Linked DNA regions of Anolis sagrei. The protein of the gene in region 4 purifies or fractionates together with the protein of the main gene of each other region. This does not show direct contact. Links are inferred from orthologs where the notes say so. Each region holds a gene or a part of one and is shown on either strand. Other genes may lie near its edges.

The links.
Region 1: the proteins of MED19 (region 4) and MED12L purify together in Homo sapiens (affinity purification with mass spectrometry; 3 studies listed by BioGRID and IntAct, counting the BioPlex papers as one, with this or other methods). This does not show direct contact. The link is inferred for Anolis sagrei from reciprocal best matches to the Homo sapiens genes MED19 and MED12L.
Region 2: the proteins of MED19 (region 4) and POLR2G purify together in Homo sapiens (affinity purification with mass spectrometry; 3 studies listed by BioGRID and IntAct, with this or other methods). This does not show direct contact. The link is inferred for Anolis sagrei from reciprocal best matches to the Homo sapiens genes MED19 and POLR2G.
Region 3: the proteins of MED19 (region 4) and CDK8 purify together in Homo sapiens (affinity purification with mass spectrometry; 8 studies listed by BioGRID and IntAct, counting the BioPlex papers as one, with this or other methods). This does not show direct contact. The link is inferred for Anolis sagrei from reciprocal best matches to the Homo sapiens genes MED19 and CDK8.

What each region holds. Positions count from the first base shown.
Region 1 is NC_090023.1:241,543,359-241,550,660, reverse strand, and holds the start of MED12L (mediator of RNA polymerase II transcription subunit 12-like protein), read right to left. Parts: upstream 3,019-7,302; 5' UTR 2,825-3,018; coding exon 2,726-2,824; intron 1-2,725. UniProt on the Homo sapiens protein: May be a component of the Mediator complex, a coactivator involved in the regulated transcription of nearly all RNA polymerase II-dependent genes.
Region 2 is NC_090032.1:12,908,780-12,916,337, forward strand, and holds the start of POLR2G (DNA-directed RNA polymerase II subunit RPB7), read right to left. Parts: upstream 3,016-7,558; 5' UTR 2,897-3,015; coding exon 2,885-2,896; intron 782-2,884; coding exon 672-781; intron 1-671. Other genes in the region: ZBTB3 (zinc finger and BTB domain-containing protein 3), read left to right, coding at 4,947-6,308. UniProt on the Homo sapiens protein: Core component of RNA polymerase II (Pol II), a DNA-dependent RNA polymerase which synthesizes mRNA precursors and many functional non-coding RNAs using the four ribonucleoside triphosphates as substrates.
Region 3 is NC_090023.1:30,600,399-30,608,132, reverse strand, and holds the start of CDK8 (cyclin-dependent kinase 8), read right to left. Parts: upstream 3,016-7,734; 5' UTR 2,680-3,015; coding exon 2,546-2,679; intron 1-2,545.
Region 4 is NC_090021.1:234,311,601-234,318,620, forward strand, and holds the start of MED19 (mediator of RNA polymerase II transcription subunit 19), read right to left. Parts: upstream 3,013-7,020; 5' UTR 2,916-3,012; coding exon 2,711-2,915; intron 1-2,710. Other genes in the region: TMX2 (thioredoxin-related transmembrane protein 2), read left to right, coding at 3,318-3,506, 5,188-5,248, 6,923-7,020. UniProt on the Homo sapiens protein: Component of the Mediator complex, a coactivator involved in the regulated transcription of nearly all RNA polymerase II-dependent genes.

The DNA.
Region 1 (7,302 bases), on a different chromosome or scaffold from region 4:
CAATATTTTAATAAGTTTGTGCATAAAGAAAAATTGTGTATTTTAAACTATTAGAAAACAGAGGTGCAACTCCACTGGACACCCATATAGACAATACTGGAGTGTTTTGGAATTCTGGATGAGGGATGCTCAACCTGTAATAACAAACAAGTACTAAAAGTTTCAGTGATATGTTGTAAAACAAATCAGGACCTTTTGCTAGCATCTTCCCACTTTCCAAGCCAACTAGTCAGTGACTGGCACTACCTGCTTGGAGAATACTTGGAACCAGGAATGCATTGCATTTCAGACTTGCCCCCCAGATTTTGGTTTACATGTATTTGCATACACATTCATCATGACTTATCTTGGAGATGGGACCCAAATACAGAACGAATGCTTGATTCAAATGCATAGCCTGAAGGTACATTCATATAATATTTTTTATCATTCTGTGCATGAAAGAAAGTGTGTATATGCGTAACTATCCAAAAGCAAAGGTGCCACTATCTCAGCCCTCTAAATTGTCAGTTTTGGAATATAGCAGACTCTTGGCTAATTGAAACTTTAAAAACTGGAAGTCTCAAGTAACATGCCAAAACTTCAAGGAAATAATACTTTACATAACAATTTAAATACATGTTTTATACTGCCTTGGAGTATGTTGGAGGCTCCTGCCATGGAGGCTTTTAAGCAGAGGATGGATGGCTATCTTTCTGGCATGTTGATTGCCTGAGGCCATTAAATGCTAATCAAAGTAGCCAACTGCAACATTCACACTTGCCTCAAGCAGACAGGAGTTCTTTCTCCCACCCTGGGTATTTCAGAGATATATAAACCTCACTTGCCTAGTTTCCAACAGATCTCACAACCTTTGATTATGCCTGCCATAGATGTGGGTGAAACATTAGGAGAAAATGCTTCTGGAACATGGCCATACAGCTCAGAAAACTCACAGCAACCCAATGTTGATTGTGCTTTACCTGCATGGTGGGGGTTTGACTGGATGACCATGCGGTGTCTTCCAACTCCATGATTCTATGTTAAGTTTGCCTGAATTTGCTTTGAATTACTGTGTTTCAATATTAAATATCAAATCAAGAAGCATTTATGGCAATGTTTCTCAACCTGAGGAGTCATGAGGGGATGTCAGAGGGGTCTCCAATGACCATCAGAAAACACAGTATTTTCTGTGGGTTATAGGGGTTCTATGTGGGAAGTTTGGCCCAATTCTCTCGTTGATGGGGTTCAGAATGCTCTTTGATTATAACTCAACTATTAATCCCAGCAACTACAACTCCCAAATGTCAATGTCTATTTTCTCCGAACTCCACCAATGTACACATTTGGGCATATTGAGTATTTGTGCCAAGTTTGGTCCAGATCCATCACTGTTTTGAGTCCACAGTGCTCTCTGGATGTAGGTGAACTACAACTCCTAAACACAAAGGTCAATGCCCACCAAACCCTTCCAGTATTTTTTGTTGGTCATGGGAGTTATGTGTGCCAAGTTTGGTTCAATTCCCTCTTTGGTGGAGTTCAGAATGCTCTTTGATAAATCCCAGCAAATATCACTCCCAAATAACAACATTAAACCCCACCCCCACAACTCCACTAGTTTTGTAATTTGGGTGTATTGGGTATTTGTGCCAAATATGGTCCAGTGAATGAAAATACATCCTATATATCAGAAATTTGCACGATTCATAACAGTAGCAAAATTATAGTTACGAAGTAGCAAGGAAAATAATGTTATGGTTGGGGGACACCACAAAAGAGGAACTGTATTAAGGGGTCATGGCATTAAGGAGGTTGAGAAACACTGATTTATGGCATGGTCTAAATCTAAGAGGGACTTTCAAGCAACAAGAAACAACATTAATCTGGCACCTACCAGTCCCCATGGATGCTGGTGAACTGAGAGCCTAATGTATATGCTGAACTATACAAAAGCAGAGATGCCACTCTCTCAGCCACCTATGTGAACAATTTGGGAGTATTTTGGGATTCCGGATAAAGGATACTCAACGTGTCATAATGACAAAGAGATCCTTAAAGTTGTCTGCTTTGAGTGGTGCATTTAGAAAACAGGACCCTTGGCTGACGTCTCCCCATGTTTTTAAGTTAATTAGTCCATGGAGTTTGTGTAGTAAGGCTACCTGCTCAGAGAATGCCTAGTTCAATACAGTCCTGTCAAAGGGAGGGAATGAGGAACCAAGGTCAGTTTCCCACATGTGTAAGGGAGAAAAGGGGGGGGGAGTCTCCAAGTATCCCCCCTCCCAAAGTGTCAAAGGGCTTTCCCCTCCTTGCCCAAAAGGGCTGCCACCTTTGTGGAGGGGAAGAGTGCCTTTCTCTCCCGACGTTGGCATATTTCAAAAGTTTCGGGGTAAAAAGGGGGGTGGGGAAAGAGAGAAGATGGAAGAGGGGGCGGGGAGTGCGTCAGACCCATAGAGAGGCATGCAGCTCACCCAGCCACTCACCCACCCACGAGGGCGCCCTGCTGCCAAAGTCATGCAGAATGGCTCCCATGCTAGAAGCAGCGCCCTTCGGGGGGGGGGGGCTCACTGGGCAGCCCCCCCCCCCCCACACACACACACCCCTCCATCTTCCCATTGCCCCTCCCTTTAAGATTGCCTCCCTCCCTCCCTCCCCCTTCCTTTCTCAGGTGCCAGCCAGCCAGGTGCGCCCCAGGCCGGGAGAGGAGGAGGAGGAAGGAGAGGGGTCTCCAAAAGCAGGGGTCTCTCACCTCCTTCTGCTTGGGGTCCTGCGGGTAGACGTCGGGGGGGCCCAAGCGGGACCGCTTGAGGGGTCTCTGCTCATAGCTCAGGAGCCCGAAGGCGGCCATGATCTTGCATGTTAGCCGGCGAAATGAATGAGAGAGAGAGAGAAGAGAGAGTTGGAGAGATGGAGCAGGCTCTGAGCACCAGGGAGCAGCACTTGGCTGGCAGACAGATAGACAGGCAGAGAGAGAGAGAGATAGACAGACAAGCTGGCTTCCCCCTCTGGCTCTTTTTTCCCCCTACAGGGAAGACGGCAGGCACAGAGGGAGGGAGGGAGGGGGGCAAGGGCTGGGATGCTGCTGCACCAATGCAACCCAACCCACCCACCCACGGAGGCTAAGGATGCCACCCCCACAGAAGTGCCCAGCAGCAAGTGAAGAAGAAAGAGAAAGGAGGGGGAGGAAAGGAACACATTGTATACAATGTTCTGGGGAGGGGGGTGTACCTAGGGGAAGGGGACCTACATACAGAGGGAGAGAACATCTTATTCCCTCCTCTCCCTGCAGCTGCAAGCGTTCCGCTCTTTCAACCTAGGCCAAGTTTCACTGCAAGCTTTGTCATTATTAATACAGTAGACTCAGTTAACTAGCACCCAAGGGGATTAATAGATGCCGGATAAAGGCAGTTTCTGGTTGCTTGAGAGTTACTATTAAAAATCAGCCTAACTGATATTGATATTAAAAACGAATAATAATAATAATAATAATGCAATAGACTCGGTTAACTGGCACCCAAGGGGATTAATAGATGCTGGATAAATGTAGTTTCCGGATGCTTGAGAGTTACTATTAAAAATCAGCCTAGCTAATATTATACTATATCATAAACTCTGGCTTGGCTTGATATTGATGTTGAAATGCAGTAATTAAAACAAAATAATAACAACAACACAGTAGAGTAGGTTAACTGGCACCCAGAGGGATCAGTAGGTGCTGGATAAATGCAATTTCTGGTTGCTTGAGAGTTACTATTAAAAAGCAGCCTAACTAATATTATACTATATCATAAACTCTGGCTTGGCTTGATATTGATGTTGAAATTCAATAATTTAAAACATAATAATAATAATAATAATACAGTAGAGTCGGTTAACTGGCACCCAAGGGGATTAATAGATGCCGAATAAATGTAGTTTCTGGTTGCTTGAGAGTTACTATTAAAAAGCAGCCTAACTGATATTTTACTATATCATAAACTCTGGCTTGGCTTGATATTGATATTGAAATGCAGTAATTAAAAACTAATAATAATAATAATAATAATAATAATAATGTAATAGACTAGGTTAACTGGAATCCAGGGGGATTGGTAGATGCAGGATAAATGTAGCTTCTGGTTGCTTGAGAGTTACTATTAAAAAGCAGCCTAACTAATATTATACTATATCATAAACTCTGGGTTGGCTTGACATTGAGGTTGAAATGCAGTAATTAAATCCAAAATAACAAGAACAACAATAACAACAACAACACAGTAGACTAGGTTAACTGGCACCCAGGGGGGATTGGTAGATGCTGGATAAGTGCAGTTTCTGGTTGCTTGAGAGTTATTATTAAAAATCGGCCTAACTAATATACTATATCATAAACTCTGGATTGGCTTGTTATTGATATTGAAATGCAGTAATTAAAAATAAATAATAATAATAAAATAATACTTTATTTATAACCCACCCCATCTCCCCAAAGGGACTCAGGGCAGTTTCCAGCAAAAGTATCAAAGTGGCAAACATTCAGTGCCAAAAACAAACAAACAATAAATCAAAACAGTGGATAAAAATCTCAACATAAAATTATAAAACTATCAAAATAAAACCCAAAAATTAAACTTAAATAAACATAACACAGGCCCGCTGGTAGTGCATCAGGTTAAACCGTTGAGCTGTTGAACTTGCTGACCGAAAGGTTGTGAGCTCCCACTGTTAGGTTCAGTTTCTGCTAACTTAGCAGTTCGAAAAACATGCAAATGTGAGTAGATCAATAGGTACTACTTTTGTGGGAAGGTAAGGGTGCTCCATACAGTCATGCTGGCCACATGACCTTGGAGGTATCTATGGACAATACCAGCTCTTTGACTTAGAAATGGAGATGAGCACCACTCCTCTCCCACCCCAGAGTCGGACACGACTAGACTTAATGTCAGGGGAAACCTTTACCTTTACCTAAACATAACATAACACAGAAACACCTCCTTGATGTAACATTTCCTCCAAGGTCATGTGGCTGGCATGACTGCATGCAGCACTGTTACCTTCCCACTGGAGCGGAGTGGACCTTCCCACTCCCTGGATTCAAACTGCTGACCTGTCAGTCAGCAAGTTCAGCAGCTCTGTGATTTAACCCACTGCACCACTGGAGGGTCTTAATTTTTAGTTAAAGCACAGTATTATTTCTTCATTTTTTGTCAGTTGTTTGAGAGTTCCGGTTAACGGAAAGTCTACTGTATTAATATGATCATGTTTATCTTAATTGTTCTTCATATGGTAGTCATCTCTTAGATTCTGCATCCACAGATTGGACCACTCATAACTTGGAAATATTTTGGAGGGGAAATAATCCAAAAAGCAAACTTTGATTTTGTTGCACTTTTGAGCACTACATTGATGTGTATACATGCCCTGCTGTTATCTCTTACCATTTCATGGATCATCAGGCTGCATCTATACTAAGCATGCGCAAACTTTGGCCCTCCAGGTGTTTTGGACTTCAGCTCCCACAATTCATAACAGCCTACACTGTGGAATTAATGCAATGCTTTGGAGACATGGGAGTTATAGTTTTACAAGGACTTTAAGGTTGTTGGTTTTTTTGCCAGTGTGTTGGTTCCTAAACAAACAAGTTTCTATGATTCTATAACACTTGGCCCTGGCAGATAAAGTACTGTAATCACAAAGTGCATTAATTCTACAGTGTTTGCTATTTTATATAAGGGATGCTCTCTTACTGCACTGCTGTATGTAATGGGATTTGAGCATCCACAGATGTTGGTCTCCATAGGGGTCCTAGAACCATCCTGAGCAGATACTGAGGGCTCACTGTGTTGTTATTGTCATCACTATCAATATAATCTTCTGTCAAAGATGTGATTCCATTGGCAGCAGCAACATCCTCCCCATGAGATGGTCCCTGTGGGATAATGTTGTGAGAATTTTATATCCCAGTTGAGAAGGGAAACAGTACACAATGTTCTACAAACACTCTCGAATACACAGGATCATAGCCACACTGTCTGAATCAGAAAGAACTAGCTCACCCAGTTTTATACCCAGAGTTGCTAACATGGCCTAGAGATAGATTTTCGTTTCATCTATAAATTGCTCCCAGAGAGTGTTTAAAAGACCTGCCTGCTCTTAAGTGCAATGGTATTGTTAAATTATAGAAGAACTAAGCCACATAACTGACTGAGCTTAATGAAGTGCCTATACTGGGGAATCAGTGTGATATGTGCTTGTTTCAAACCATTCATATATTTTCACCACCTGAAAATCCATGTCAGTCCAAAGAAACAACTGTGAGAAACAGATTAGGATGAGTGCGCATCTCTGTAGGTGGATAATAGGTTCACAGAATCATAGAATCATAGAGGTGGAAGAGTCCTCATGGGCCATCCAGTCCAACCCCCTGCCAAGAAGCAGGGAAATTACATTCAAAGCACCCCCGACAGATGGCCATCCAGCCACTCTTTAAAAGCCTCCAAAGAAGGAGCCTCCACCACGCTCCGGGGCAGAGAGTTCCACTGCCGAACAGCTCTCACAGTCAGGAAGTTCTTCCTAATGTTCAGGTGGAATCTCCTTTCTTGTAATTTGAAGCCATTGTTCCGCATCCTAGGGCTGCAGAAAACAAGCTTGTTCCCTCCTCCCATTGACTTCTATTCACATGGGTATCATGTCTCCTCTCAGCCTTCTCTTCTTCAGGCTAAACATGGCCAGCTCTTTAAACCGCTTCTCATAGGGCTTGTTCTCCAGACCCTTGATCATCGTTCGGGGCTCATTCCCCACAAAGTATAAAAGGTAGTGTGGCCATTAATGTTTAACCCAGACACTGATAATGGATGATGATGATCTCTGTGTGTGTACAGTAAACTCTCAATTAACCAGAATCCATGTGGATTGGTTGGTGCTAAGTTTCTGGTTGCTTGAGAGTTACTATTAAAATAAGCCTAACTACAGTAATACTATATCACCATACTTTATTTTTCCATGTCAGGAGTGACTTGAGAAACTGCAAGTCGCTTCTGGTGTGAGAGAATTGGCCATCTGCAAGGACATTGCCCAGGGGACGCCCGGATGTTTGATGTTATTACTATTCTTGTGGGTGGCTTTTCTCATGTCCCCACATGGAGAACTAGAGGGAGCTCAACCCGCTCTCCCCAGATTCGAACCATTGACCTGTCAGCAGTACTGATGAATCAACCTGGACACAGCATATTATTTGAGAACACAGAAATGCTGGGCCACTCTAACAACTACCATGTCAAACTACACAACCCATTGAAATCCACAAACATGTGGACAATTTCAACAGAAAGGAATAAACCATGAAAA
Region 2 (7,558 bases), on a different chromosome or scaffold from region 4:
CCTACAGAATTTTCTTTGTAACTTGGGAACTATCTGTGTTGGTATTTGTGTTTTAATTTTCGTCCTATGTATTTTAATGTATGTATTTAAATGCTGTTGTGTTTTACCTGTGTGCTTTAATTACAGGTAACAAATAATAATAATAGAATTCATGAGAAACAACTGGAAAAGTTTACACAGAACAAGGATTTAAAGATCAAACTGCAAAGACTCTGGCACAAATCAGTCAAGGTGGTCCCAGTGTTGATCAGCACATTGAGTGCAGTGCCTAAAGACCTTGACCTGCACTTAAAAACAATCGGGAGCTGACAAAATTGCCATCTGTCAGCTGCAAAAGGCCACCCAACTAGGATCTGCACACATAATTCACTGATACATCACACAGTCGTAGACACTTGGGAAGTGTACAACATGTGATTGAATACAAAAGCCAGCATAGTGATTTTGTATGTTGTGTACAGATCTTGTTGTGTATCAAATAATACTAATAATAATTATAGGAGAGGGCATAATGATTTAATGCCGTTCTACTTGAAAACCCAAGTAGTGGCCTTGGAGATAACCCACACACAAAACTGTTCAATTATCTGGGCAGAGCTGTCAATAATAATAATAATAATAATACAAGCAAGTTCAATGGGAAAAGATAATCTCTAGCCACTTTTACTTACTTTCCAGTGCAGGTCCCCTCCACTTCGGTGAACAGCTTTTGCTTCACAGTGTTGAGGAGGTTAGGCCCAAAGTAACGTGGATGCAGCAAAATTTCATGCTCCAAAGATATCTGGAGGAAGAGAATACAGGGGTTAGCGCCCACTAAATAAATAACAAGAACTTTAAACAGTTCAGAGAAAACTCCAACTACTTCAGGGCATAAGGAAGAGCCAGTCACATTCTCCTGGAGACTCACAAACATCATCCCCTGATGTTTCCCTATAGCAATTGGCATTCAGATGCTTACACAATACCTGTGAATATGTAGGCAGCATATTTAATGGGCAGTCTTCCTTTTGACTCCATGAAACCAGGTGAAAACCTTTCTTTTCTTTAATGATAAATATAATAATATTTATTTGTTATAGAAGGCTTTCATGGCCGGAATCCTAGCTTGATGTGTGTTTTTCGGGCTGTATGGCCATGTTCCAGAAGCATTCTCTTCTGATGTTTTGCCTGGATCTATAGCAGGCATCCTCAGAGGTTGTGAGCTCCTCTGGATGTCTGCCACAGATGCAGGTGAAATGTCAGGAGAGAATGCTTCTGGAACATGGCCATATACCCCGGAAAACATGCAACAACCCAATATTTATTTATTATTTATTTATGATGGGGTTGTAGTGGTGGTGGGATTGGGGAAAATACTGGTATTTTGAATGTTAATTTCAAAGATGGCACGTTTCTATGTATTATACAATAATTATTTTTTTAAAATGCCCACCAAAAATTATTATTTATTTATGACATTTATATCCCACCCTTCTCACTGCAAAAGGGATTAAGAGCGACTTACAAAGTATATGTACATACAATATATTATATTATTAGCATAGCACAATATTAGTATTATATATTACTATTTTGTACTGTATGACTATACTGTAATATTGTTAGTAATATTAAATGTAATATATAATACATTATTATTATATTATTATATTGTATTACAATATTACAATCAATATTATATGAGCATACAATTTATTACATTATAATAGTCGTATCAAGATAATCATAGAATCATAGAATCAAAGAGTTGGAAGAGACCTCTTGGGCCATCCAGTCCAACCCTCTGCCAAGAAGCAGGAATATTGCATTCAAATCACCCCTGACAAATGGCCATCCAGCCTCTGCTTAAAAGCTTCCAAAGAAGGAGCCTCCACCACACTCCGGGGCAGAGAGTTCCACTGCTGAACAGCTCTCGCAGTCAGGAAGTTCTTCCTCATGTTCAGATGGAATTTCCTCTCTTGTAGTTTGAAGCCATTGTTCCGCGTCCTAGTCTCCAAGGAAGCAGAAAACAAGCTTTCTCCCTCCTCCCTGTGGCTTCTTCTCATGTATGTATACATAGCTTTCATATCTCCTCTCAGCCTTCTCTTCTTCAGGCTAAACATGCCCAGCTCCTTTAGCCGCTCCTCATAGGGCTTGTTCGCCAGACCTTTTATCATTTTAGTCACTCTCCTCTGGACACATTCCAGCTTGTCAATATCTCTCTTGAATTGTGGTGCCCAGAATTGGACACAATATTCCAGGTGTGGTCTAACCAAAGCAGAATAGAGCATGGGGAGCATGACTTCCTGGGTCAAGTAGGGTCATGCTGATCATGCAGCTTGACCCTACTTTATCTGCCTGCGCTCAATGCAGGGAAAAGTAAAGGCCTTGGGAAACTACAACTTCCAGGATTCCATATCATTGAGCCATTGCAGCAAAAGTGGGGTCAAACTGGGTTAATTCTGCAATGTAGATGCACCCAATTTCACTCCTAATAAGCATGCAGCCAGCTTGCCATATTCTTGTCGAATTCAAAACAGCAGAGAGGAAACAACCAGGCACATCTTAACACCTCTCAACAGAACATTTTCCCAGGCTCAGCCAGGCCGTCAAATGCTAATAAAGGTGGTCAGCTGAAACATTCACACCTAGCTTCAGCAGAGAAGAGCTCTTTGCCCCAGCCATTCCACAGATATATAAACGCATTGTCCTAATTCTAAGAGACCTCACTACCTCTGAGGATGCTTGCCATACATGCAGGCGAAACGTCAGGAGAGAATGCCTCTAGAACATGGCCCTATAGCCCGAAAAAACCTACAAGAACCTAGTGATTCCAGCCATGAAAGCCTTCGACAATACATTAGTCGTTTAGATGCTTTAAATACAGCTCCGGCCATTAACTTACATGATAAAACATGCTCCCAGCTCCAACAGCCACCTTTTCCCTTCCTGTAAACCAGCTTCCTCCTGATTGGCTGCGCCGGTCGGAGCGCCCTCCTCCTTAAAGGAACAGCACCTTCTCCCGTGATCCCTTCGTATTTGAACCGTTGCAAACTCACAGTGAGTGACGTTTCACCTCGCTAGGAGGCTTCTCCAATCGGAATGTAGGACACAGATGGTGATATTTCTTGACCAATGGCGAGACAGAACGCAGCAAGTTCCTTCCCCTTCAAGAGCGACAGATGGAGGAGAAAACATTCCCGCGAAGGGGGCGGGGGGGAGGAAGAGAGGCTGTCGCGGAGAGTGACAGAGAGTGCCAGCCAATCAGGCGAAAGGGGCGTGTCCCTCGGGGCCTCTGCTTTGTGGTGGGTAAGTGGGGGGAATCGAGGGGCTCCCTCTCCGCCCGGCGCGCCCCGTCGGAAGAGAGGGAAGCGCTGCTGGCACCGTGTCGGGGCTGGGAAGGGGGCCTCTTCCTTCTGGGGCGAGGGAGGTCTCGGGCAGGGCGGGGGCGGGGGGAGCCGGCTGGGGGTGCTCGTGGGGGCTGAGAGATGGGGGGAAATGGGGGCCCACGACGCCACAAAAGCATCGGAAGTGACTGGACGGACGAACCACAGGCCGCTGCTGAGAGAAATTGTGGGAGTTGGAGGCCGAGACCCCTGGAGGGCCAAAGTGTGCCCATGCCTGGGTCAGGCCCTTCAAACGGCCTGTTTCTGTGTCCGAACCCACAGGATCTCTTCGCTCCCCTGGAGAGGCCCTACTCGCGCTCCCACCGCCCTCGCAGGCGCCCTTGGGGGGGGACGAGGGAGAGGGCCTTCCCGGTGGTGGCCCCTCCACTCTGGCACTCACTCCCCAGGGACATTAGGCATGCCCCAACCCTGGCAGTCTTTAGGAGGAGCCTGAAAACGTGGTTGTTCCGGCGTGCCTTCCCAGAATAAGGAGAACTCTCAGCAATATGTCCTCACAATGCACTTTAATTTATTTATTTATCGTGTCATCAGCAACCATTGTATTACAATTCTAACAGAGCAAAACAAACACAGAGATTAAAAAGGGAAAAGGGAAAAAAACACACAGATTTTGCAAATTTGGTATTTGGCTAAATGTCCTTTGACCAGTATCTGGCCATTTGGAGTGCCTCTGGTGTTGCTGCAAGAAGGTCCTCCATTGTGCATGTGGCAGGGCTCAGGTTGCATTGCAGCAGGTGGTCAGTGGTTTGCTCTTCTCCGCACTCGCATGCCAAGGATTCCACCCTGTAGCCCCATTTCTGAAGGTTGGCTCTGCATCTCTTGGTGCCAGTGCGCAGTCTGTTCAGTGCCTTCCAAGTCGCCCAGTCCTCTGTGTGCCCAGAAGGGAGTCTCTCATCTGGTATCAGCCATGAATTGAGGTGCTGGGTTTGGGCCTGCCACTTTTGGACTCTCGCTTGCTGGGGTGTTCCAGCGAGTGTCTCTGTAGATCTAAGAAAACTATGTCTTGATTTGAGTCGTTGACGTGCTGGCTGATATCCAAACAGGGGATGAGCTGGAGATGTCTCTGCCTTGGTCCTTTCACTATTGGCTGCTACTTCCCGGCGGATGTCAGGTGGTGCAATACCGGCTAAGCAGTGTAATTTCTTAAATACTGACTTAGGATGGATTGCGTTCCCTCGTTTCTCTCTGAAAAATCCGACCCCAGTTACATTTTACCTGTTCACATCAGCATATTCTCAATTTTAATCTATTACATTTGGCCCGACCATTTTTAATATGTCATTATTGATTGTTGTTTTTGTTATGTGATTTATATGATTTGTATTTTATTGATTGTTGATTAATGTTGTGCTATTGATGTTTGTTTGATGTACTTCGGGCTTGGCCTCATGTAAGCCGCACCTTGGGGAGATGGTAGCGGGGTACAAATAAAGTTTATTATTTATTATTATTATTATTATTATTATTATTATTTAAAGTTACCAAGTGTCTTCTCTTGCTGTCCCAAAGGAGGCTGAGCTATGCCACTGAACGCCCAACGACCGTGAGAGAGGCCTCGGCATGGAGTTCCCCAACCACAGCCAGAACGTGCTGCGGAGCTTGTGGGAGCAGCAGCATGATGGCTTCCTGTGCGACTGCACCGTCCTGGTGGGCAGTACCCAGTTCCTGGCCCACCGAGCTGTGTTGGCCTCCTGCAGCACTTTCTTCCACATGTTCTACAAGGAGCGCCTGGACAAGCGGGACGTGGTGTCCATCAACAACGAGATCGTCACTGCCCCGGCATTCGAACTCTTGCTGGAATTCATGTACAAAGGCAGCCTGTCTTTCAACGACATGCCAGTCGAGGATGTCTTGGCAGCGGCCAGCTACCTGCACATGAATGACATTGTTAAGGTGTGCAAAAAGAAGCTTCAGGCCCGAGCGTTGACTGAAGCGGACAGCACCAAGCGGGAAGAGGAGGCCCCGGGCAATTCAGAACTTCTGCCCAGTACCTCCAAGTTTCAGCCTCCGATGCCTGAGCCTCAGCCCTTCCCATTGCCATCCCTGTGTCAGAAAGACAGTGACAAAAAAGAGGAGTGGAAAGGAGGAGAGAAGGTTGCTTTGGAGGAAACTGCGGCCTCTACTTTGGATGTGGCAGATACAACGCAGCCAGGCATGGAAATCACGCTGCCAACAAAGCCACCACAAGCACCCGTGATTGACATTTCTTTCTCTAGTCCCAGCAGTTCCACTGAAACAATCCCACACAATAGCTTTTCTCTAGCAAATGAAGGTTCTTCTAACACAGACCACGCTCCAGAGGGGTATTTGGAGCAAAGGACAGACACATTTTGTCAGAAGGAAACAAACCGGCCGTCTGTCAAGGTCAAAGTGGAAGCCATTGTGATTTCCGACGAGGAGTCTGATGCGACAGAGCAACTGGAGGGACAGGGCGCAGAGTTCAGATTGGAAAGCATCTTCCAAAGGTCTGCCTCAGAGACAGCGCTCCCTGGAAGATGTGGGCGCCATTTGGACACGTTTGAAGACCCTGCTGGGATAGACGAAGTGACGTCGGAAAGCGGCTTCCTGTCCCAAGAGCACCTCCCGTATCACATGATCCCCATGCCTGGCGGGCAGAGCTTCTCGAACATGGTGACGCCGCCCCTCCATGAACAGATGTACCTGCCGGATTTCGAGTCCCACTCCAGCTTCGGCATCTTTACCGACGATGTGCCCACCTGCAAGACGTGCGGGAAGACCTTCTCGTGCTCCTACACACTCCGGCGCCACGCCACCGTCCACACACGGGAACGGCCCTACGAATGCCGCTACTGCATGCGGAGCTACACGCAGTCCGGCGACCTTTACCGGCACATTCGCAAAGCCCACAATGAGGACCTGGCAGCCAAGCGTTGCAAACAGGACATGGAGAACCCTTCATAGGTCTCAGGTCCCAGCAGAGAACAAGGTTATTTCTGATTATTTCCTGTAGATACCATGCGATTTAGGACTTCTTTGAAGGTGGTGATTGGTCTGCATCCAACTTTTTCTCCTCTCCTCCAGTCACTCTCACAACCAGAGCTTTCCAAATGATTCATCATTGTGTTGCTGGAGGCTTTCATGGCCAGAATCTCTGGGTTGTGGTGAGTTTTCTGAGCTGTAGGGTAATGTTGCAGAAGCATTCTTTCCTGACATTTCACCTACATCTACAGCAGGCATTTTCAGAGGTTGTGAGGTCTGTTGGAAACTAGGTAATTGGAGTTTATACAGGGTGAGGCAGCATAACTTCCTTTTTTCAAAACTTAATAAAACCCATTGTATGAATCAGATTTTTTTTATTTTTTTTATAGTGTAGGCACATACCTAAAGTGTTGTTTTACGTAGTTTTGAAGATCAAATTAGGTAGGTGACATCCCCCATTCTCCAAACACTGAGTAAACCGATTTCTAGTGTTGCTGACTCTTGCCACCATAGCAGGCGTTCTGTTGGCAGTTTCTTCCTGGATGTTGGTCTTCAAATCTTGGAGGGTCCTTGGACGGTTCACATAAACACGGGATTTCAAAAAACCCCACAGAAAAAAATCACAATGGGCCAAATCTGGAGAGCGGGCCGGCCACTCCAAATCCGCTCGAAAAGTAGGCCTCAACGACAAAAGCACGCTCCTCACTGTTCCAATGCATGATAGCAACTGAACTGTGTCAGGACAAAACTTTATACTCCCGCCTCTCGAACGAGACCACTAGCGCTCCACTACGTCTTCAACCGACTGAATGGCACGCATTTTAAAAAAGGAAGTTATGCTGCCGCACCCTGTATATCTGTGGAATGCTCAGGGTGGGAGAAAGAACTCTTGTCTGTTGGAGGCAGGTGTGAATGTTGCCATTAGCCACCCTGTTTAGCATTGAAAAGCCTTTCGGCTTCAAGGTCTGGCTGCTTCCTGCCTGGGGGAATCCTTTGTTGGAAGATGTTAGCTGGCCCTGATTGATTCATGTCTGGAATTCCTCTGTTTTCTGAGTGTTGTTCTTTATTTACTGTCCTGATTTTAGAGTTTTTTTTAATACTAGTAGCCAGTTTTTGTTCATTTTCATGGTTTCCTCCTTTTTGTTGAAATTTTCCACATGCTTGTGAATTTCAATGGCTGTATAATCTGACATGATGGTTGTGAGAGTGGTCCAGCATTTCTGTGTTCTCAA
Region 3 (7,734 bases), on a different chromosome or scaffold from region 4:
GCTTTCGGGACAGGGCAATAAAGTGGCAATAGGAAAGATGACCAGGAAAATTAGATTTGATGTGGACGACTAGGACTGTTTTAAATGGTGTACTTTAAAATTTTGATAAATGTTTTTAATGTTTATGTATGTATATAAGAATTTGTGTCCCGGCAGTGAATGTTTGCCATATATATGCTGTGCCCCACCCTGAGTCCCCTTGGGGGTGAGAAGGGCAGAATATAAATGTTTTAAATAAATAAATAAAATTCAGTAAATAATAAAACTGATAAAAACATAGATCCTCTGCATCTCATTACCAAAATAATTCTCCAATTGCATTGTCCAGTCGTTCCGAGATCAGGGTTTGTCTGCTACACTGCATTTGAGAAAGCCTGCTCAAAAAAACAGGTTTTAACTTTTTTGCGAAATATTAAGAGGGTGGGGGCAGATCTAATGTCCCTAGGGAGGGCGTTCCACAGCCGAGGGACCACCGCTGAAAAGGCCCTGTCTCTCGTCCCCGCCAAACGAATCTGTGAACTAAGCAGCTCACCAGTAACTTTCTTGTCTCTACTTGAAGTTCCACACTTTACACCGGCCCGCATTTTACACTGGCATACGTTCTACCTCAATGTGCTTTATGACAGTATTTCCTGCCCAGTTGACTGTATTTTTGCACTTTCCTGCACTCCTGTAAAAATGTATTGCACTCATTGAATCTGTACCTCAGTTATGTTTCTTGCAGCCGTATTGTTTTTGATATTGCTTTCAATTGTGTCGCTATTTGTTTTATTTGATGTTTTGAATGGTTAAATTGTTTTACATGTGTGTTTCAATTGTAATCTTGGGCGTGTCCCTTTAAGCTGCCCCGAGTCCCCTAGGGGAGATGGTTGGCAGAGTATAAAAATAAAGTTATTATTATATTACTAGCTGTCCCCTGCCACGCGTTGCTGTTGCCCAGTCTGGTGATCTGGAAAATAAAGTAATGGTTTCTAATATATGTAATGTCTTTCTGCTTGTGGGTAAACAGTATTTCTTGCTGTTTCTTTGTCAGTGTTGAAGTGGAGAGTATCTGATTTGCCCATTCTGGAACATGCAACATATTATTGTCCTTCTTTAGGGGTCCCTTTCACATCTAGGATATTATATCTCTCTGTGTGTGAATCATATATATCTATATCTATGGCTGAATGTCTCTTTGTCAGGAGGGCTTTGATTAGATTTTCTTGCCCTGGTGAAGAGAGTTAGTCTGGATGGCCTTAAGTATTTTCTGTTGGTCATGGGGGTTCTGTGTGGGAAATTTGCCCCAATTCTGTCGTTTGTGGGGTTCAGAATGCTCTTAATTGTAGGTGAACTATTTATTTAGAAGTTTTATATTTATTTATTTATTTATTTAGAAGTTTTACATACCGGTCTTCTCACCTCCAAGGAGGGACTCAGTCTGGTTCACAACATGTTTTCATATACAGTAATATACAAAACAGCATAGTGCATCACCATTACACATTAAAATATAAGTACAATAAAAACTATAAATCCCGGCAACGACAGCTCCCAAATGTCAAGGTCTATTTCCCCCAAACTCCACCAGTGTTCACATTTGGGCATATGGAGTATTTGTGGCAAGTTTGATCTAGATCCTTCATTGTTTGAGTCCACAGTGCTCTCTGGATGTAGGTGAACTAAAAACCCCAAACTCACGGTCTATGCCCACCAACCCCTTCCAGAATTTTCTGCTGGTTGTGGGAGTCCTGTGTGTCATCTTTGGTTCAATTCCATCATTGGTGGGGTTCAGAATGCTCTTTGATTGTAGGTGAACTGTAAATCCCAAGAACTACAAATCCCAAATGACAAAACCCATGCTTTTTGAGTGATGGCCACTCCTTGGGGTAGTAGATGTATTGTGTCCAAATTTGGTGCCAATCCGTGCAGTGGTTTTTGAGTTCTGTTAACCCCACAAACGAACATTATATTTTTATTTATACAGATATGTATAAGAAGGCAGGACTGAGAGCAGGGCCTCCCCAGAGGATCTTAGATTCCTGGATGGTTCATAAGGAGAGCTATGTTCAGACGGATAAGCTAGGCCCAACTCCATTTGCTTTGTATTTAATTAAGGCCCCTTCCACATTTTTTGCTTTGAACCGGAATATATGGGAGTGTGGACTCAGGACCCATTCCTAACAGCCTCAGGCCCTTTCCTTTTCCCCCTCAGCCGCATAAGCGGCTGAGGGGGAAAAGGAAGGGGCCTGAGGCTGTTAGGAATGGTGGGAGTTGAAGTCCAAAACACCTGGAAAGTCCAATTTGGCTGAGGAGAAAAGGAAAGGTCCTGAGTCTGTTAGGAATGGTGGGAGTTGGAGTCCAAAACACCTGGAGGTCCCAAATTGGCTGAGGGGGGAAAGGAAGAGGCCTGAGGCTGTTAGGAATGATGGGAGTTGGAGTCCAAGGCACCTGGAGGGCCCAAATTGGCCCATGCCTGTCTCTAGATGGAAACAAGGCGGCCATGGGATGGCCATCCAGGCCTCCACCCCGGGAAGAAGGCTGCTGGCCCGACTCACTCACTCACCCGTCCTTCCGCTTGGCCTTGTAGACGTGCCCGTAGGTGCCCCTGCCCACCTTGCAGCCCTCGTACTCGAAGAGGTCCTCCACTCGCTCGCGCTCCCCGGTCAGCTTCACCTTGAAGTCATAGTCCATCTTCATTCAGAGGCCTGGACTCCTGGCCTTCGCCTCAGGAACCGGGGAGGAGGAGGAGGAGGAGGAAGAGGAGGAGGCCCCGCGACGCGGACCATCCAGGTGAGAGGAAGGGAGGGAGGGAGGAAAGGGCGGCGGCGTTGCTAGGAAGGAAAAAAGGCCCAAGGGTGCGGAGGCTGAGGGGGCCGCGGCCTCTTTCCTCCTCCTCTTTAGTCCTCCTCCTCCTCTTCCTTCTCCTCCTCCTCCTTCTTGTTCCCTCAGCCGGCTGAAGAGAGACCCCCAAGCGCCACAAGAGCCGGTATCTCGCTCCTCGGAATACGGCACTGCCGCAAAAGGAGAGCGCTGTCGTAAAGTCGCCCCTCCCCTCTCCTCACTCCTTCGGCACCACGTGGAAGCCGACCGGCCTTTTAGGCCACGCCCCTCCAGTGAAGCACTTTCCCCAGCATGCACCACGCGGAGAGAAAGATGCAAAGTGGAGTTTGCTTGGTCCCTTCCACACAGAATACCAAGGCAGAAGATCTCACAATATCTGCTTTGAACTGGGATATCAGAGTCCACACTGCCATATATTCCAGTTCAAAGCAGAAAATGTGGGATTTTATTCAACTGTGTGGAAGGGGGCTTAGTCCACACAGCCCTATATCACAGAATATCAAGGCAAAAAAATCTCCTAATGGTCTGCAGCCCCTCCCACAGCAAAAAGTTAGGTAAAATTGCATACCTGTAAGGGCAACGAAACCAAAATATTTTCCAAAAGTCTACATAGGCACCACCAAATGCAGCATTGCCCAGACACGCATCAAGGAACATGAAAGGCACTGCAGACTACTTCAACCAGAGAAGTCAGCCATAGCAGAGCACCTGATGAACCAACCTGGACACAGCATATTATTTGAGAACACAGAAATGCTGGACCACACCAACAACCAAAATGTCAGGCTACACAGAGAAGCCATTGAAATCCACAAGCAAGTGGACAATTTCAACAGAAAGGAGGAAACCATAAAGATGAACAAAATCTGGCTAAGAGTATTAAAAAACTCAAAAATTACAACAGCAAAACAACAGAGAGGAAACAATCAAGCACATCAATTCACTCTCAACAAGAGATTCCCCCCAGGCGCTTCCAGGCCATTGAATGCTAATCAAGGTGATCAGCTGAAACATTACCCTGGTCATTCCACAGATATATAAACCCATTTTCCCTACTTCCAACAGACCTCACTACCTCTGAGGATGCTTGCCATAGATGCAGGCGAAACGTCAGGAGAAAAATTGCCTCCAGAACATGGCCATATAGCCCGGAAAAACCTACAACAACCCAGTATTTCCCAAAAGGCAGAAGCCCCCTTTCCAGTAGGGAGGGCAAGGATGGACACCACAAAAGTTGAATCCTTTAAACTGCAAAAAAAACCTATTTATTATTGCGTGGCCATAGCAATAACGACAAACAAGCATACAGGGATGCAATCAAAGGGTTTGTCGCAACCCCAATGGGGCTGTAGAGCATTTATAGTAAATATAATATACATTTTCATTGGTTCCCAAAGACAAATCATTTCATTGGTCTAAGCTAGCTATGCAGTTGTTCATTATTTGTTTATGATTTTGATTGACATTATAGCACACGTGGGATCCTAACAATGGCACAACTATATCATAAATATGGTCCATTGTTCTCTGACCATGACTGTACCTTATCTGTTAGCCTGTTGCAAACATGGCTTCAGAGTGACTGGGAAACTTGGGGGTTCTAACTAGCCAACAGCTAGCTGGATTTGTCCAGATATACTGTTATCCTTGAATACTAACTTCTTTGGAGCATTGATTTCTCAAACAATCAGCATTTTCTGTGAATATAGGCCTACTGCAGAAATAGGCCAATATGGCAGTAAATCATGACATATGGGCATTGGGGAAATCTCTGAAAAATCCCTTTTTAAAACCACGTCTCCTCCATACCAACACACATACACACATTTACAGAAAACCCACACACAGAGATAGATATCTACATAAAAACTCCAACCATCACCCAAGTCATCTCAAGAACAGAGAAGCATCCTGAGCTCTGAAGATCACCTGGGAAGGAACCCCACTGGAGCATTGCAGCACACCCAAATACCTGGGAGTCACTCTGGACCGTGCTCTTACCTACAAGAAGCATTGCCTGAACATCAAGCAAAAAGTGGATGCTAGAAACAATATCATACCAAAGCTGACTGGCACAACCTGGGGGTCACAACCAGATACAGTGAAGACATCTGCCCTTGCGCTGTGCTACTCTGCTGCTGAGTATGCATGCCCAGTGTGGAACACATCTCACCACACTAAAACAGTGGATGTGGCTCTTAATGAGACATGCCGCATTATCACGGGGTGTCTGCGCCCTACACCACTGGAGAAATTACACTGTCTAGCCGGTATCGCATCACCTGACATCCGCCGGGAAGTGGCAGCCAATAGTGAAAGGACCAAGGCAGAGACATCTCCAGCTCATCCCCTGTTTGGATATCAGCCAGCACGTCAACGATTTAAATCCAGACATAGTTTTCTAAGATCTACAGAGACACTCGCTGGAACACCTCAGCAAGCGAGAGTCCAAAAGTGGCAGGCTCAAACCCAGAACCTCAACCAATGGCTGATACCAAATGAGAGACTCCCCCCTGGTCACACAGAGGACTGGGCGACTTGGAAGGTGCTGAACAGACTGCGCTCTGGCACCACAAGATGCAGAGCCAACCTTCAGAAATGGGGCTACAAAGTGGAATCCTCGACATGCAAGTGTGGAGAGGAGCAAACAACTGACCACCTGCTGCAATGCACCCTGAGCCCAGCCACATGCACAATGGAGGACCTTCTTGCAGCAACACCAGAAGCGCTCCAAGTGGCCAGATACTGATCAAAGGACATTTAATCAACTACCAAACTCACACATTTTGTATTTTCTCTGTTTGTTTGCTTTGTTCTGTTAGAAATGTAATATAATTGACTGGCTGCCCTGACACGAGAAATAAATACACAAGTCAAAAAAGAAGCACCAATTAAAGCCTTGGCAGACAGTGCAAAAAGAATCTGCGAACCCCACCTCCTTCAAGATGAACTGAACCACCTCAACTGTGCTCTCCAGGCCAATGGATACTCCACCTCAGACATCAGAAGAGCTGCAAGACCGAGAACAAGCCACGAGAGTAAAGATGAAGATCCACCCAGAGGAAAAGTGTTCTTGTCATACATCAAGGGAACCACTGACCGCATAGGGTTGGCTTTGAGCCCATCTTTAAATGTCTTCCAACATTCCTTTTTCTGTTCTTGAGTTCGGAATACAGCAACTGCTTTGGGTGGTCAGGCATCCAGACAACATGGCCAGTCCAGCGGAGTTGATGGCGGAGGGCCATCACTTCAATGCTTGTGATCTTTGCTTCTTCCTGCACGCTGACATTTGTCCGCTTGCCTTCCCAAGAGATTTGCAGGATTTTCCAGAGGTAGCACTGATGGTATCGTTCCAGGAGTTGCATGTGACATCTGTAGTCAGTCCATGTTTTGCAGGCATATAGCAGGGTTGGGAGGACAATAGCTTTATAAACAAGTACCTTGGTATCCCTATGGATGTCCCGGTCCTCGAACACACTCTGCTTCATGCAGAAAAATGCTGCACTCTCAGAGCTCAGGCGGTGTTGAATTTCAGTGTCAGTGTTGACTTTTGTGGAGTGGTGGCTGCCAAGGTAGCGGAAATGATCAACATTTTCTAAGTTACGCCATTGGAGAGGTATTGACTGGTGACTGCTGGAAGAGCACTTTGGTTTTCTCGATGTTCAATGACAAGCCGAGCTTCTCTTGAGATACTATAGGGCCTGTCTGAAAGGACCCATAGCTGTTAATTAGGTTAAAAGTACATTTTTTTCTTTATCTTGTAAATTCTTTTAATGTAGTGGAAAATCAAAAATTCAAAAAAGAAAAAAGATTGGAAGATGTCTTTGCAATAATAGATGCTGATTAGAAAATTGCAAACCATTTTTTATGTCTTGATGTTTTAATGTAGTGAAAGTTAAAAGATTGCAACATGTTTCTTTATTTTCTGGATTCTTTCAATGGAGTGAAAACTTATTTTTAAAAGGAAAAAAATACAAAAGGTTGGAAGTTGTTGCCGTAGAATTGATGTATCAACAAGAGATGATGACAAGGAGGTTGTAAGTCATTTTTTAAAAAGAAAGAAAATCTGGATTGTTTTTAATGTGGTGAAAGGTTATAATTATTTGTTACAAGGAAAACGTTTAGAGGTTGCAAGTAATATTTTCCTTTGTTTTCTAGAGTATTTCACTGTAGTGAAAACTTGTAATTATATTTTACAGGAAAATATTAAAAAGGAAGTTGTGGGTAAGGGTGTCTGGGTAATTTTGGTGCATGTTGGGAACTGTAGTTTGGAGCAGTGAAAGTTGCAGCCATTTAATTATATTAAATATATGCAATTATAGCAGCTGATAACGTTGAAAGTCATATTTCTTCTCCTAGATTTTTATTTAATGTAGTGAAAAGTTGTCATTATTTTTTAAAAGGAAGCTGGAGTTAAGGGTCTCTGGATTGTTTTGGTGCCTGATGGGACCTAGAGTTTGAAGCCTGGCTTGATGACATTCCAGCGGTAGAAGTCAGAGACTGGAGCATGATAGGAACTGAGATCTTTGGGGTTTGTGGCTCCATCCCCATGGAAACACATTCCGGAAGGGTAACAGTGTGGAATGGAACGGAAGTGCAAACTGAGGACAGAGATTGCCTTGAAAGGCCATCTGTTAAATGGAATTGTGGGAGTTGTGGCCCAAAAATTGTGAGAGAAGACGTCGTTTTCCACTTTGGTTCAGATCTTTCAGGTTGAGCATCCCTTATCCAAAATGAAATAGTCCACATTTCAGATTTATTTTTTTTATTTTGGAATACTTAAATATACATAATGCTTATCTCAGAGGTGCAGCCCATGCCCAAATGCGAAATTCATTTATGTTTCATATATAACAGATTCGCATAGCCTGAGAGTAATTTTATATATAATATTTTTGTGCATAAAACACT
Region 4 (7,020 bases):
TGAGTGTGGACTCAGACAACTCAGTTCAAAACAGATATTCTGGGACATAGGGCTGTGGGAGCTGGAAGAGTATAGAGAAGTTGATGCACATTTCTCATGCACGGCTTTGACTCTTTGAGAGTTTAAAGCATCACTGCATCCTGAAGCTCTCTTTTGAACATTCATATGACAGCCACATCTTCAGGAATTTAGTTTGTGTTTCACCCAGTATCTCCCTTTTCTGAGGGAAACACACTTGTGTTGCACAGGCAAAAGAAGGAGCTCACCTCACACCACTCCACATTCCCCACGTATAATTTTCTTTTCCTGTATTCTGTGAATATTCGTTATGCCCAGGGAAAGGAAAATAAGGGGGAGGAGGAGAACACACAGAAAGAGGAAGAGCCAGATCCACTGGGACTGATTTCTCCTTCCATCTCTCCCATGTTTCTGATCTGCCCAGTATATTCTCCCTTTACCTGGACAATAGACTTGCACCATAGAGGAAGGGTGGGATCTCAGCATTGGTGCCCTATTTCCCTTCCCTATTAAAGATGTTGACTTTTTTCCACTTTCGCTGTTTCCCTAAGTCCCATATAAGTAGAGGGATGACTCTACTTATTTTAAAACAAACTTCCCAAAAGTCAGTAGAACTTCAAAAGAAAAAAGCATGCAATAGGTACAGAATGAAGCACCCAACTCCTGCTCCCCATTCCACAGGGTAAAGTAGTACAGGTTGAGCATCTGCTAACTGAAATGCTTGGGGACAGAAGTGTTTTGAGAAAACCTGTATTCCCACAATAATATATACTAGTTTTAAATGCTTGCTTATGTTTATTTTATGGATTGCTTATTATGTTTTACATTTGTGTCACTGACTGTTGCGTATTTACTATTGTATTTTATTTTACTGCATGTTAACATGTTGGGTCCCTTCGTGGGAGAAAAGTGGGATATACATAAAGATGTATTATTATTATTATTATTTGCAAGTATGTATATTATAAGACATCCTAGGAATGGGTCTAAACATGAAATTCACTTATGTTTCATATATACCTCTTATTTCTAGTTTGAATGTATTTTATACACAATATTTCAAATAGTGTTTTCTATGATGGTTGTGTGTACTAAAAGGCTATCACTATCTCTGCCAGCCATGTGGACAATTTCAAAGTATTTTGTATTCTGAAAGTCTATGTTGATTTGTCTTCTAAGACCCCTCCTGCACAGCTGTATAAAATCCAGATTATCTGCTTCAAATTTTTGGTTGTTGTTTTTGCTGCAACATAGGGCCCTTCCACACAGCCATATAACCCAGAATATCAAGGAAGAATAACCCACAATATTCCTTTGAACTGGGCTATCTGAGTCCACACTTCCATATATCCCAGTTCAAAGCAAATATTGTTAGATTTTATTCAGCTGTGTGGAAGGGACTTTAGGCACCCTTCTACACAGCTGTAAAAAATCAAGATTATGTACTTTGAGCTGGATTATATTAGTGTAGCCTGAGGCTTGTTCCACGCAGCTGAATAAAATCCCACATTATCTGTTTTGGATATATGGCAGTGTGGACTCAGATAACCCATTTCAAAGCAGATATTATGGGATTTTTCTACCTTGATATTCAGAGTTATATGGCTGTGTGGAAGGGCCCTAAATGTTGTCGTGTCGGTCAAAAATCTTCACTTTTGAAGGATTTAAATGCATACATGGAATATAACAAAATACAAGTAAACATACTGATCAAATACCACAAAGCTTTAAGGTCAGGAACAAGTACCTTCCAGGGCCCACCTACACTGTAAAATGAATGCACCTCACTACCTCTCAGGATGCTTGCCATAGATGCAGGCGAAACGTCAGCAGAAAATGCCTCTAGAACATGGCCATATAACCCGAAAAAACCTACAACAACCCAAAATGAATGCAGTTTGACAACTTCGAGGAATGATGTTCACTCCTCGAAGGCACACCAGAACTGCCAGGGCTCAATGCTATGGAATCCTGAGACTTGTAGTTTGGTGAGGCACCCATAGCAAACGACCTTGTTAAACTACAAGTCCCATGATTCCACAGCATTGGAATCACGCCCTTTATACACCTCCTGTCACATCAGCACTTTTAATCTTTGTACCCACCTTCTGGCCCGGCCCAGTTTTATTGTGTTTTAGTGTATTGTGCCTGTGGTTTACTTTGCTTTTCTGTTTTTAATTGATTTGCTTAGATTGTATTGTTATGTTGTGTGTAGAGGCCTTGGCCTGTGTAAGCCGCATCGAATCCTTCGGGAGATGCTAGCGGGGTACAAATAAAGTTTAATAATAATAATGGAGCCAGGGCTGTTCACGTGCAGACGTGTCCTCGATTCGGGTAAACAGCGAGGGAGACTCGACCTCACGTTCTCAACAATGAACTTCTCTAACTTCCGGTCTTACAGCGCCAAGTCCAGCCAGAAAATAGGAGCTCGGCTCCGCCCCCAGGTCCCCTGCTCCCTCATTCGCTCTGCCATCTGCCCATCACTTCTCGCCTAACCGTTGGTGAGATTAAATCCCCACAGAAGAGGGAGAAGCCCACCTGGGGCAACTGGGCCACCGATTGGACGGCTCCCTCCTGACGCCATCACGAAGGCCAACCCGCATTGGCTGAGAGCACAAGGCCCGCCTCCCTTTCTGGTTGGCTTAAAGGGCCTCCCGGGCCCGCCTCCCTCCCGCCCTCCCTCGGCCCCTACCTGGCAACTCCCGCATCAGGTAGAAGGGCCCACTGGCGGCCGCGGCCTTGCGCGCCGCCTCTTCTCCGATGGGAGCCACGGCCGGCACGGGAGAGGGCCCCGTCACGGGCCCGCCCGCTTTCCCCGGGCCGAAGCCCAGCGCAGCAGCCGCAACTGGCGGAGGAGGTTCGCTCGCCCCGAAGAGAGCGGAAAAATTCTCCATCATCCCGGCGTGCTTCGCGCAGTCTCCACCTATTGGCTCCGCGTCTTGGCAATCCCATGCGCTTGCCCCGATTTCATTGGCGGTCTCTGAACCCGCCTCCTAGCTATGATTGGCTAGCTCCCCTGGAAACCCGACTTTGCTCTGATTGGGTGGTTCCAACACTTCCCCTTGATGCAATTTTACGGGGCGCCGAAACGTCAATAGAATGCGCCGGAGAGAGGCGCTCTTGTTTATAGTCTCCGTAGCCGTTGGTGTGTGCGGAGTTGGCCAATCGAAGCGCTAGGTGTCACCTTTAGAACCGCCCTTTTTGGATTGACGCGTCCGTCGACCAATGAGTGTCAAAGAACGGTCTAAGCGGCGACCTGTTGGCGCGCGGTGCGGCGATTCGGTCAGTGGGAGGTGAAGATGGCGGTGCTGGCGCCCCTCCTGGCGCTCTTCTACTCCGTGCCGGGGATCTGCCGCTGGCTCGCCCAGCCCTACTACCCGCTCTCGCTCCTGCTCTCGGCGGCCTTCCTGCTGGTGCGGAAAGTGCCGCCGCTGTGCCATGGGCTGCCCTCCCAGCGCGAGGACGGGAACCCCTGCGACTTCGACTGGGTGAGGCCCTCCCCCAGGCCCCTTCAGGCGGACGGGCCTTCTCCTTCGCGCCTCGCCCTTCAGGCGGAGACTGCACGGCGACAAGCTTCGCTTCCCCACGCGGAATGGATCCTCCCGCCCCCCAATCATCATCATAATAATCATAATAATAATAAACAACAAAGCAAAACGAATACAACATACAATACATAAAATAATACATAAAATAAAGTACAATAAAATACATGGAAAGAAAGAAGGAGAATAATATAAAATAAACACAGGGTACAACAAAATAAGCAAAGACATTAAGCCGATGGACAGGGCCAAGTACAACGGGTAGGACTGTAAAACCCTGGGTGAGGTGGATAAGTAGGGTGATGCATCTGGTGGGGTTCGGATGGGACAACCAATGGGAATTAATTTCAACTAAAGGGTAAGATACTGTGCGTCAAAGTACAGAGTTGGTTAAGGTATGGGAATTTGATGTTCATTCCTCGAAGGCACACCGGAACAACCAAGGCTTTAGGCTCTTCCTGAAGGCTGCCAGGGTGGGCATTTGTCTAATCTCTCTGGGTAGAGAGTTCCAAAGTCGAGGGGCCACCACAGAGAAGACCCTCTCCCTCGTCCCCTTTTGTTCTTATTCCTATTGGATAATCACTGGTCACATAATCAAATGGAGGATTATGACCTGTTAGGGTCATTACTTATTGGATTCTGACCCATTGGGAAAACTGTAATATGTATGTCTTTTAAGAAAAAAAAATGGTATTCACATATATTTATACTTGGCAATCGATTTTTCAGTTGTTAGACCAGGCATGGGCTAACTTTCTAACTTGGGGATGGGTGGGCCAGAAGGGAGGGGGTTCTCCCCAAGTCCCTTTTCCGCCCCTTCCTCTTCTCTTTCAGAGAAGTGAAGGAATGACGGGAAACGTTTAGCTCTCAAAAGTGTTGGCCTTATCAGGATGAAAGGGTGGATGGAACAGAAAAAGTGTATCCATTAGATCCCATATTAACTACTCCTGATTAAAATCCAAGATATAATTAGACAAGACATTAGACTTCAATTATAGTTGTCAAGATTATCAAATTGACATACACGAGCATCTTTGTATATTATGTCCCCTCAATGTCCTCTCATATATAAAAACAGGATTTTGTGGCATAGTTTTTAAAAACCTTACTAACTGACCTAAATCATGACCTGAATCTGAATTCCTATATTACATTACTATATTTTTAAGTTAAGCCAAATTGATCCTGTTTAATTGCTCTGTTTCCATGCTATTTCCTATGCTACTATATGTTTCTATCCACCTATTATATCACCCTATCCATTAACCAGTTTGCATAGTGACTTCCTCCCCCCCCCTCCAAATTTATTATTATTTATGCTGTTTTATGCAATTTTAACTTGTTATTGTACTGTTTTTAATTGTATATTGCCTTGGGCTTGGCCCCATGTAAGCTGCCCCGAGTCCCTTCGGGGAGATGGAGGCTGGGTAGAAAAATAAAGTTCTTTTTCTTCCTCCAATTGTGTTATTAGATCAGAAAATATGAATATTTGTTAACCAGCTAGAAAGCAAAACTTAAATGACATAATTTTTGTCTGCCATTAAATGTTTTGCCTATTTTATGGTAAAACAACTTCTATAGACCCGTATTCATACTGCCTTTCAATATATTGTCTGTCTTTTAGCGGGAGGTAGAGATTCTGATGTTTCTCAGTGCGATTGTGATGATGAAGAACCGCAGATCCAGTGAGTAATACTTGTGTGTGTTTGTGTGCACTTTCAAGTTGTATATCAACTTAAAACACCGCATGAATTTGGGAAGGTTTTTCTGACAAAGCAAGACTTGGAGAAAGCTCGGCTAGTTCCCTCCTCTGAAATATAGCCCGAAGAACCTGGCATTCCTTGTTTGTTGATTAACTTCCAAAATCAGAAAGGATCCTATGGCTTCAATATATTTAACTCCTAGTAATATTTGCATTTGTTATTTATTGTTCCCTGGAGTAAGATACTCCGTTGCAACAGAGAGTTTACAGTGAATTTTTTTCCAAAGAGTTTTTACCTGTATTAAAGGCTTTTTCTTTCTTCTTAAAAAAGTTGGCTATGTCCATTCAGTGCACACAATCGCTAATCAAGGATGAGATATGTGTGTAATTTTATGAGATGAGATAATCTCCATACAGTAAATCAACACAGAAACTAAAGTTTCTAAGTTGCTAGTTATTCTGCATTAGATATATTATTAGTGAGGTCCCCTGTACATTCTTTTCAGAGGAGTGTCTTTGAAACATGCTTGCTGTTTCTTTTGTTTCTGACATCTTATCTGTGATAGCTAGATAAGGTAGCCAGAAGGCAAAGTTTTCATGAACCAATGCTTAGTGCATTATGGAACGGGTCAAATGAAAGACGTCCTGAAGCTGATAGAGAATAGTAAAGACAGAAACTGCGTGGAAAATTAAATGAAATAGAAGTAGCTGAAAAGAGTGAAATAACCTCTTTGTATGAAAATAACCTGCCAGTAAGTCCACTCAAATGATCCTAATTGTTTAATAATAATAATAATAATAATAATAATAATAAGTACAGTGCCTAGCAACTTTGGCCTGCACTTAAACACTATTGGCACTGACAAAATTACCATCAGCCGTCTGAAAAAGGCTACTGGGATTTGCATGCATTTATTCGCCAATACATCACACAGTCCTAGACACTTAGGAAGTGTCCGATGTGGATCCAATACAACAGCCAGCAGAGTGATCTTGTTTGCTGTGGACTCACTTTGTTGTGTTTCAAATAATAATAAAACTTTATTTATATTCTGCCCTATTTCCCCTGGGGGAGATAGGGTTTTTATATTTCCCTGAAGGAAATATAAAAACTTATCAAAAAGGTATTTAACACAAGAGGGTAAATTGCTAAGAGTACAGCAATTGCATGACATCCTTAAAGTATTTATATAATTTGAGATTCAAAATGAAAATAATATACGAGTCACCTTGCAGATACCTTTCACGAAATACAATAAGATGGCTCTCAACTCAGATTATTGAGGGTTTTCGCTTGCTATAGGATGGGATGAAGACACCACATTGGTTACACATGCCTTCTCAAGCTACTTTTTGCCAGCCGTAAACCATCACTGCAGGTGGGGAAGTGGTTGTTCAGAATTAGAATACTGCTTCTGAAAGCACCAAACAAGTCCTGTGTTTTTGTTGTTTTATAAATCTGCAATTAAAGTAATGGTCACTTTCAATTGACTTTCTTTTAAAAGCAATTCATTGGGAGTAGCCTATAGCAGGCCCTAGGGGAAAACCTGTTCTTTGGACATGGCAGATATGTCCATCCCTACTGTAGTCTATACAGGACTAACAGATGATGCAGATACCTGAGCTAACCATCTGTTTTGTGTGTTTGTTTTTCAAGTTACTGTGGACCAGCATGTGGGAAATATCTTTATGTTCAGCAAAGTGGCCAACGTCATCCTTTTTTTCCGCCTTGACATCCGGATGGGGTTGCTTTAC